Linked DNA regions of Arabidopsis thaliana. The protein of the gene in region 2 purifies or fractionates together with the protein of the main gene of each other region. This does not show direct contact. Each region holds a gene or a part of one and is shown on either strand. Other genes may lie near its edges. The genes, in order: AT5G17510 and PEX3-1.

The links.
Region 1: the proteins of PEX3-1 (region 2) and AT5G17510 fractionate together in Arabidopsis thaliana (co-fractionation; one large-scale study listed by BioGRID). This does not show direct contact.

Annotation. Positions count from the first base shown.
Region 1 is NC_003076.8:5,768,703-5,774,146, forward strand, and holds AT5G17510 (mediator of RNA polymerase II transcription subunit-like protein), read right to left. Parts: upstream 3,694-5,444; 5' UTR 3,642-3,693; coding exon 3,163-3,641; intron 2,447-3,162; coding exon 1,816-2,446; 3' UTR 1,610-1,815; exon of another isoform or gene 1,227-1,609; intron 1,223-1,226; downstream 1-1,222. Other genes in the region: AT5G17500 (Glycosyl hydrolase superfamily protein), read left to right, coding at 1-253, 345-541, 614-1,017; RCP1 (root cap 1 (RCP1)), read right to left, coding at 4,094-4,176, 4,315-4,376, 4,450-4,512, 4,608-4,726, 4,816-4,917, 5,371-5,444.
Region 2 is NC_003074.8:6,219,171-6,223,878, reverse strand, and holds PEX3-1 (peroxin 3-1), read right to left. Parts: upstream 2,962-4,708; coding exon 2,882-2,961; intron 2,797-2,881; coding exon of another isoform or gene 2,785-2,796; coding exon 2,635-2,784; exon of another isoform or gene 2,558-2,634; coding exon of another isoform or gene 2,544-2,557; coding exon 2,353-2,543; intron 2,256-2,352; coding exon 2,125-2,255; intron 1,837-2,124; coding exon 1,709-1,836; intron 1,554-1,708; coding exon 1,347-1,553; intron 1,200-1,346; coding exon 956-1,199; 3' UTR 806-955; downstream 1-805. Other genes in the region: MOS4 (modifier of snc1,4), read right to left, coding at 392-631. UniProt on the Arabidopsis thaliana protein: Involved in morphology determination of peroxisomes, but not in import of peroxisomal matrix proteins. May act as a docking factor for PEX19 and be necessary for the import of peroxisomal membrane proteins in the peroxisomes.

The DNA.
Region 1 (5,444 bases), on a different chromosome or scaffold from region 2:
TCGATGCTGACCTAAGTTTCTTAAAAGATCGTCCAGTGAATCTTAGCTTCAAGAAAAAACTTGTCTTGGAGCTTCATTGGTATTCTTTCACTGACGGTACTGGTCAATGGAAGTCACACAATGTCAACGACTTTTGCAGCCAAATGTTCTCTAAGGAGCGTCGTACCGGCGGTTTTGTTCTCGACCAAGGCTTTCCTTTGTTCTTGAGCGAGTTTGGGACCGATCAAAGAGGTGGCGATCTTGAAGGAAACAGGTTCTCGACCAAGGCTTTCCTTTATAATTACATTTAGATATTTGCTTACCAATCAAAGCTTAAAGTACTTTTATCAACCGTATACCATTAGGTACATGAATTGTATGTTGGCATGGGCGGCCGAGAAAGATTTGGATTGGGCGGTTTGGGCGGTTACGGGAGTTTATTATTTCCGCGAAGGCAAACGTGGTGTAGTTGAAGCTTACGGTATGTTAGATGCGAATTGGCATAATGTTCATAACTATACTTATCTCCGTAGGCTCTCCGTCATTCAACCACCGCACACAGGTATTCATCAATCTTGCTTGTAATTTAACCAGATTATTATTACATATAGTTTGATGTAAATTTAATAAACAGGACCCGGTGTAAAGCACAATCATCACAAGAAAATATTTCATCCGTTAACCGGACTCTGCCTAGTGAGAAAGTCACACTGCCATGAGTCCGAGCTCACGTTAGGTCCATGCACAAAGGACGAACCGTGGAGCTATTCTCATGGAGGCATACTTGAGATCAGACGCGGTCACAAATCTTGCTTAGAAGGAGAAACAGCGGTCGGAAAAAGTGTGAAACTTGGCAGGATATGCACAAAGATTGAGCAAATATCGGCCACAAAGATGCATTTGTCGTTCAACACTAGTGACGGTTCGTTGGTATGCTTAGACGTGGATTCGGATAACAATGTTGTTGCTAATTCTTGCAACTGTTTGACCGGAGATACTACTTGTGAACCTGCAAGCCAATGGTTCAAAATCTTCTGAGGTTTATTTGTTGATTTAAGCTAAGAGAGAATAAATGTCTAATTAGGATTAGTGAATTGTTTAGTTATTCTACGTTTCCCTTCATAAGCTTCGTCCTCTGTGTTTTTATGGCAGAGAGAAGAAACAATTCTCCGAAACGATGACGATTTTGTATTGCCTTACTTCTTCACAAAGTTAACTCAAAACTTTTTAGGTTAGAACCCTAAAGCATTAATATTACCCTAGTTTTCATATTATCTTTTAAGGAAAAAAAACAAACAAAATTAGACCAATTTGATGAGAAAGTATGCAAAAATCCTCCACCTGAGGATTAAATTTGTGTAACTATTACAATCTTTTCACATATCACAATCAATCATTCCATACATGGCCAATACATAACCAATACAATTCTGTAATAGTAACTTACATATGATAATCTATTTTAGCTACTAAGCTTTACTATCTGGATCTCTTACACCTTCTACAAGATTCGGTTACTAGGTAACCAGCCTCTCCATCTCCATGTATCATGAAGACACTAATCATCAACATGTAATGCACACATCTAACTTATGCTACAAAACATCAAACAGATACAAGAAATGCTTACTTGGAACCATCATTGGTAATTCAGATAGCGGAGAGCAAGAGTATCATTAGGCTTTGAGTCTGACTATCAGATACCCATATACTTGACCTGAACCTGGCATATATAGCAGCTTGAAACTATAGAAATTGGAGTGATATCAAGAGCAACTGTAATTTCCTTTCCAGTTTCTAATACATGAGACTGCAAATAGTCTTCACCTTGGTCATTTACCGGCTATTCAAATCAAATTCTCCTGCTTCACGCCAGTTTTCTTGTTCCCCTGTCTCTCCATTCTCATTCTCCTCATCATTCAAGAAATCTTCTGAAGGTTCCTTGTCCTCTCTCTGACTGTTGTTTCCCCATCCATTCATCATCTCATCAGGGTTCATGTTACGTCCCTGTTCTCCCATCTCGTGGCTAAGCTGAATATTGCTGCCCTGATTTCCAACCGCATTAGCCCTTAATGGGTTACGAGCCATTATCTCAGCATGAGATTGAGACTGTCCAGCTTGAGCTAAAGCCGCCATCCGCAGCTTAGCCTCCTGAGCCTCCCGGCCAGCCTTCTCCCTATCCATTTCTGCTTTCAGTTCAATCAACGCTTTCCTTTCATCTTGTAGCAAAGCTTGTTCTACCATCAACCTTTCCTCAGATCTGAATTCTCCCATAGCTCTCTTTCGAGTTATTATGTTAAAAGCTAGTGCTTGCTTCTCAAACGTTGCCGTGAATTCAGCAACTTTCGCAGCAATGTTGTTATCCCATTGTTGAGAGCGGGACAAGGCCTGGCCTGTTGGGTCTGAATCAAGGATTCTATCATCCTCTTCTGCTTCGTAATCTGCTACGACATGATAAGGTAATAATCTGCACAGGTTGTAAGAATACACGCAATGTGAGTAGTGACCGCAGTAAACCAGAAACAGAATGTTCAAACAAGGCAATGGATCTATCTAGCAATTATAAACCTAATATTACGTCAATAGAACCTTTTCACACAGATATGGAAGAAGACAGGTAACAAAAATAGCAAGAATAATTAGTAATATCCACGGAACTCAGTAATGTTTCTCAACACTCAAAAGGAGGTATTTATAGCTTTTACGAGAAAAGACAGGACGTAATTCCAAATTGATCTCAAAGAAATGAGGACCATGCAGAGATGCCACATCAAACTCAGAGAGAAGAACAGGATCTCTTATACTTATAGACAGGGAAAATATAACAGATGCAGCATCTACCTTTTTCAGAAAGATACCTATTCAAGAAACTCATGCTTCCAGTAGACAAAGATCCCGTTTTTAATCTATAGTCACAATCTATAGTTGACCAAAAGGCTAACATATAGTATCATTCTAATTCTACTACCAAATAGGACAACAGAAAGCCTCAGGGCGACTCCTAAGGAGATAACAACTCAAAACCCAAAAAAACGTGATAGATCATTAAATTCAATTATTAATAGATAGATCAATGTTTGATATCATTAAATTGAGACTAGAAAACTATACTAATTGCTGCGGCTTTGATGAATTTCATCAAAAGTATATAAAGTTTGATAATTTGCATTTGATACAACAAACCTCTCGCAAGCATCTTCGAGAGAAGAGAAGGGTTGTTTAAAATTGGGGTGACAAACACGCCAAGCGTCCTGATAAGCGCATTGAAGCTCGATGTGATTCAATGGCCTCATCAATTTCTGCTGCTGCTGCTGTTGTTGTTGTTGCTGCATCATCTGCTGACTCGATACATTCTGCTGCTGCTGCTGTTGAAAATTCGGTGTCTGCTGTCCCAAATTAGGGTTAGGGGTAGGATTCTGCTGAGGCGGAGGATTAATGGGTCGGTTCTGAATCAACCCCGGTGGCCGGAGATGCACGTCGATGTTCGACGGGAATCTAGACATTGCTGCTTGTTGCTGTTGTTGTTTTTGCAATTGCTGCAATAGAAGCATTTGTTGTTGTCTCTGTTGTTGTTGTAGTTGGTGTTGATAGAGAAGTTGTTGTTGTTGCTGCTGCTGCTGAGGATTGTTGTTACCTCCCAATGGTGGCTTCGTGTCCTCCATTTTTGCTTTCTTTCTCTTTTAGGGATTCTATTTTGGGATTCTAGGGTTTTTCGGGGAAATGTTCTTCGCCGTGAATAATGGTTGTCTTGTCTAAGTGAGAGAAGAAAGAGGCTTGTGATTTATCTGGGCCAATCTAATTGGGCTTTTATGATTAAAGACCACAAATATTAAGCCAACTAATCAGACTAAACCGGGAAAACGATAGCCAAAGCTGAACCCGGGAAAACGATAGCCAAAGCTGAACCGAGAATGTTTCGATTTTGATTTTTGACCGTTCAATATCAAAAGTTATTTTTGATATCAGACATTATTTTACTATATGATTCAAGTAAAAAAATACATGAAATTACAGAGTAGTTGTCTTATAACCCTTAGGAAAAAAGAATGAAAATACATGTAATCTCTATGGACTTGCTTGAACAAAGGGCGTTTATGGCGTGTACATTCATTCATTACGGTCCAAAAACAAGTTCTTTCAAAGATCTAAACGGCGAGTTGTGACCATAAGCCACTGCATCTCTCCACAAAGCCAGTCCTGTTTCATACAAATGGGGGAAGAAACGGTTAAATGCGTTCAGAGAGTGATTTATGAACATCTCACACTTGAATATATGGTGGAAAACAAAAATGGAACGATGATAATGTAAGAGAGAGTATCTGTGAAGTAACCAACCTATCCATGAGATCAAACCAATTGTAGCTGCCACGAAGAATGACTGGCTGGTGCAATTTACCCTGTGGAGAATACCGGATTATCGATAAACTCATTTACTTGTGACAAAAGAGAGTTGTGTGCAAGGGTTCTTACAGGTATAAGCAAAGAATATTTCCATATCCATAAAAGAGAGTTGCCCATAGCGAACCAGTGAGCCTGCGTCATGGTTTAATGAATATCAAGCAGTTTTTTTACTACGGGTGAATATAGTTTAAGCTGAAAGGTTTCGAATTGAGAGAGCTTATATTTACCACATCAAATCACGGATAAATAGTGCTCGAGGGATCATAAGCCCGTTTCCCATCATCGAGAGCAACATTGTGATTGACGATAAGCCTTTTATGTTGTCCGGGTTTAGAAAATTTGTCCACTGAAGTGTAGAAGAACATCAGATATCCAATAGGGAAAGAGCAATTAGGAGAAAGTTCAAAGAACGAGAGAAAAAATGAGTTGTTATACCATTTGGGAAACTGGCATCCACATGAACATAAGAGTTGCTGTCCATCCAGATAAAGACCCTACAAACCTAACACCTTTCTCTGAAAGTTTCCCAGTTCGAGCCTGCATTCTTACCAGTAGGTAGTTAAGAGAAAAGAAGAACACTTATCCATATAAACAACTACACATCTTAACAGTTGTTTTGAAGGATCTACGAAACCAGGAATTAGTTGTCAGAGAATCCTAATACAGACTTGGAGAAAAAGCATCAAGGCCACCATTTTTTTTTTCTATAAAAAAGAAAACTCCTATTTCCTGACATAGTTTTTTTTGTTCATAAAGCCCAATAACAACACGAGGACTGAAGCGAAATTGCAATGAAAGAGATTCGGCATCCAACACTTAGCTCAATGCAAATGGTTACAATATTACCCAAGCTAATAATATGAAAACTTGTTAAAAAGGTTTCGAGATAATCTCCTAGAGGCTAAAAGTGACTGATATGACTAACCAATGTCAACACGTTACTTACAGATAAAATTATGGGGGGAAAGTAAAAAGTTTTTGAAAGCTTACCATGATTATAGCTGCCACAGCAATACCAAAAGCAGTTGTCCCAGGCAAGATACTGTTTGGTACAAGAGGGACAA
Region 2 (4,708 bases):
TACCTTTAGACCTAAATCATAAAACTAGCTACAAGATCATAAAACTTCTACTACCAAGACCAGTTGCTCATGAGGATTCCATTCAATCTTAAGATTCTAGTTGATTCTGAACCCTTAAACTAAAATTAATTGAACCTTAGATAAATCACTAAACACTATGCTCCTCTTTTCTCTCCGTTAAGAAAACGAATAGAAGAAGAGAACAAGAACCCTATCATAACAAACCCAAAATCAACACTCACTCCTATAAAGTCCAAGATGAAGTAAAACCCAGAAACCAAAAGATTGGAATTCACCAAATTCCCTTTAAACCCTAATCCAACAAAATTTCCAAACCCTAGCTAGAGAAACGAACAAACAAATCGATAAAAGGATTCACAGTGAAATTCACCTTAAAATCGAACTTCGGAAGAGGAGGCAAGTCCTTTAGAAAGTCAGCTGGCTTCTTAGAGCTCCGACGCATCTCTTCCTCCACCAAACGGTCTACCTCCGACTTAATCAATGGATTGCCATAGTCGTCGTCTATATAAGGAAGCGCATCGATAACTTCTGCATTCGCCGCACTAGCCCAGGGCCTCGCAGCCTCCGGCGTCGCCTCCAACATCAAGACATCACCATTGTTCGTCGCCATAGTCGTCTCTCAACTTCAGAAATCGAAAGTGTCCAGATAGTGAGAACTGAGAAAGATGGAGAGACCCAAGTTAATAAAAAAGAAGAAGTTAATATCACCGACCCGGTTTTATTGGGCCTTGGGCTTCTAGGGCCCTAAAAACTGAAAGATATGTAATACACGGTGTCCTTTTTTGTTGCTGCAATATTACTATATTAGTAAATGATTTGATATAGATATTGAACAATTATTCTAGAGATGTTTGGTTTTACTATTTTGAAGTAAATCGAAACATATGATAAAAAGTGATCAGGAAACAATTTTTGGCAATGGGGTTTAATAATGCTACTGAGGCATATTTGCGTATAAAAGAGTAAAAAAGAGTTTAACTTCAGGCAAATCTCGGATGAGTTGCAAGAACCGGTTCTTCTCCGGCTCAGCTGAAATCTCCGGCATGGTTTTCTCAATCTGTGGTAATAGCTTTGCCAATTGCATCCCTGTGGCCAGACCGGTCTGCGTTTCCATCTCCTCTACTAACGCAACGGCACAACACTTGAGTGAGATCTCTGCTACATTTGAAAAATCATTGCTGCAACATGAAAACAAGACCAAGAAATGTTTAACAGGCTACATTGCAACATTCTTGCTTTGAGCATTGAAGCAGAAACGAGGACAAGGCTTTAAAGAAGTGAAATTGTTCGTCTTTTGCGGGTTAAAGAGCAGAGATTTTTTTTACCTTGTGAGTACTTCCCGTGTCTCGGTTATGAGTAGATGAAACTTGGTAACAGTTGCATCAGAAGAGGAAACATCAGTGGTTGCGTCTTGGGACATCATTAGATAATCTACCCAGTGGTGTGGACTTCCTGTGCTCATAAACACATCGAGAATCCGCATCACAGTTTCTCGAAGAGCACTTGTGGTTAACACATCCTTTAACTGCTTTCTGCAATTAAACACACATAGTTAGATTTCGCTATACGTTCATAAAAGTATAGTGATTCTTCATAGGCATTTGAGTTTGAGGCACCATAAAATCAATCTTCAAGGATGAGAAACAAGGGAGACATCTTTGATAAGTAGGTTTGTAATGTAAATTACCCCTTGAGAACTTCTTTCACTGCGTTCTGCATGTTAGAAATCAAACTCGGCATGCCACTGGTCGCAAGAAAATCAGCGCTTGTCAAAAACTTTTGTTCATCATCTCTCTCTATGAGATCTAGTTCGTCCTGAGAAAAAAACATATCAAGGAAATGACGTTGGTAAAGATTGTGGTAATCCAGCCAAGAGTTATATCTAAGACCAATGAATACACTAATTTCGATAATTTTGAAAGGAAAAGATGCAAAATATCAACTTCTACCCCTTGAAATCTCAATTTGAAATTTTGATATCTCAAGATACAATGCAACAAGTAGAATGAAAGTACACAAAATTTTATCAGAATGACCAATTTGCTAGAAGTAGCTTAACAATGATTCTTAAGACAATAAAAAGAGAAAAGTAAAATGTCTTACAAGTAAATGGGAGCTCCCAAGACCTCTAGCAGTGTCGATATATAAATGTCTGCCCAAAATATTGACTTGAACCCTAATGTACAAACTAAGCATAGTGACCGACCAAAGGGACAAGACCATTCTCGTGAAACCTGAACACAAGGAAACACATTTAAAAAGATTGATTAATGAGAAGATCCAATGTTGCCACAGAGCACGAGAAGTACAAGTAAGGGAACAACAACGCACTCAAAATTTTGAGCTCATTCCAGAGTTGAAGCTTCTCAGAAGGAATCAATATTCCTTTGCCTTTGCTTAGCTTATCCATAATACTCGAGACATCAATCTCTTCAACTACACGACTACTCAAGTGATGAATTGCGTGAGGCAATGTAGTAGTATCAGCAATCATCTGAATGTTATCGAAATGTGCCTTCATTCTAACATAGAGCATAGAGAGAACAAAACCAATAAGGACTAGAAATCGATAAACAAGCAAAAAATAAAGACGAGAGGTTACAAAAACTCAACTGGGTTTTGATGATCTCGTCGTTTTCACGCTCATTAGCAAGCTCTCGTTCCAAATCAGCGAGCTTACGAGTATGGGCATTGTATAGTTTATAGAGCAAATACCCACTTCCCAAACAAGTCGTCGTCACCAAAATCTTCCTTCTATGTTTCCTCCACAAACCCCTACAGAAACACAATGAACTTTGAATCAATCGTGATGTGGATTAAAAGAAACCTAATTGTCCTCAGTTGCAAACGTATCTAAAACCCTACGGAACTAGAAACCAATAGCGAGAGAAAGGAATACATAAGGAGATCAGAATTTAGAACACACCTGACTAAATCCATGACCTTTGAAGCTACTATTGGATTCGAACCATTGGCTGGAATTTTTTAAAGAGATAAAAAAAAGAAGCAAAAAGCTTCGTGTTGAAGATATCTCAAAGCCTAAAGACAGAGATATAGAGAGAGACAGAGAGGAAAGGGGGCTAAGATTAGATTCCTCTGTCGTCTTGTTGTCTGTGGCTAAGGTAATAAGAAAACTGAGAAATTTTCCGGCGAGAGATGGCTTTTTAGCTCCGATCTCTCTCCTTGGGTGAATAATGAGAATGTTATCACTTCAGGCGACACAGAGATTCTCTGATATTGGAAACTGAATCTCACAAACAAAGCTCAGAATCTGCTTTTTCTTTATTTAACCGAACTTAACCGAACCAAAGTCTATTTGCTTTATTAGGTCAACCAACATATACATATACGTTCCGACCGAAAGATGTTGAACTGATAAACTCGGTAGTAATTTCAGTAGACCGATTTTATCGTTGGTTTAGAAAAATCAAATAGTGTTGGCTATTGAATCAAACCGAACCGTATTGTGTAGATTTTGTATCCATTAGCTCAAGAAATACTTTCAGTTATATATATGTATATATATATATATATGCTTATTTAGGTACAAAATTAAATCCAACATTTAATAAAATGGACTAACATTACCAGTCAATTTTGTATATAATGAATGTCCAACAAACAAACCGGTTCCATTGACATTTCCGGTTTATAAGTAGGCCCACGTGTAGAAGCAATTTCATAATGTTCAAACTCTCCTCAAACCTTTGGACTGAACTAGAGATTTTCAAGATTTCTTGTCTTCACTTATATGTCTCTTTTCATGCAACGACAACCTCGGATATACAAACAATCTACAACCTCTTTAATGTCTCTTTTCCCCAACATGATCTGGATCCATCCAGTGATCTATCTACTTCGATTTTATCTCGTATATACAGGCTTGAGGCTTCGTTCGTTATCATGTCAAGTAGAACTACACATTCCACACCAAAATTGAAATGTTATCGGCATAACAAAAACAAAATACTGACTGACATGTTATTCTATAATTGAAAACTTACCGACTGAAAAAAATTAGAGCTTAATTTACATCGTTTTTGAGCTAGAACTAGATGTAAATTTCCAATATCAGGGTTCAAAAGAATTAGTAAATTAACAATCTGATAGAGAGATCACATCCAAAAGGTTAATAGCAACACACATTTCAATAATTTTTCCCTCTCTAATTTCGTAAGAACTTGTGACTTACACAAAAAAAACTAACTAACTACTATCTCTTCTTTTAATACTATCTTGGACATAATCAACGCTGGTTTTCACCGGTTATACAGCTGGTTTTCATCAAAATCAAAATCAAGAATCTAACTTGGGGTAAAATGCTCAATAAGACTCAATGATCATATTCACCTCTAATCTAACTTTGCGGCTTGAAGGTGTAGAGGGCAATGGAGATATTATAGTTGTGAGAAAGTCTTGGAACCATCTCTTTAAACCTAACGTAATGGTCTTCCAACAGTACGACCATCTTGTCTAATGCCTTTGTGTTTTTAAGCATAAGTTCCACGAATGAAACAACGTGCTCTGACTCTACATCCAAACATGACTTGTTCCAAAAGACACCATATTTTGATTTCCAACATTGATCGAGATTAAAGCCTTCCAAATCCATGTGGTCGCCAAGATACTCACCCTGCACAACAGAAAAAAAACATGGTTCTTGGATGACAGAAAAGGTAATCATGGA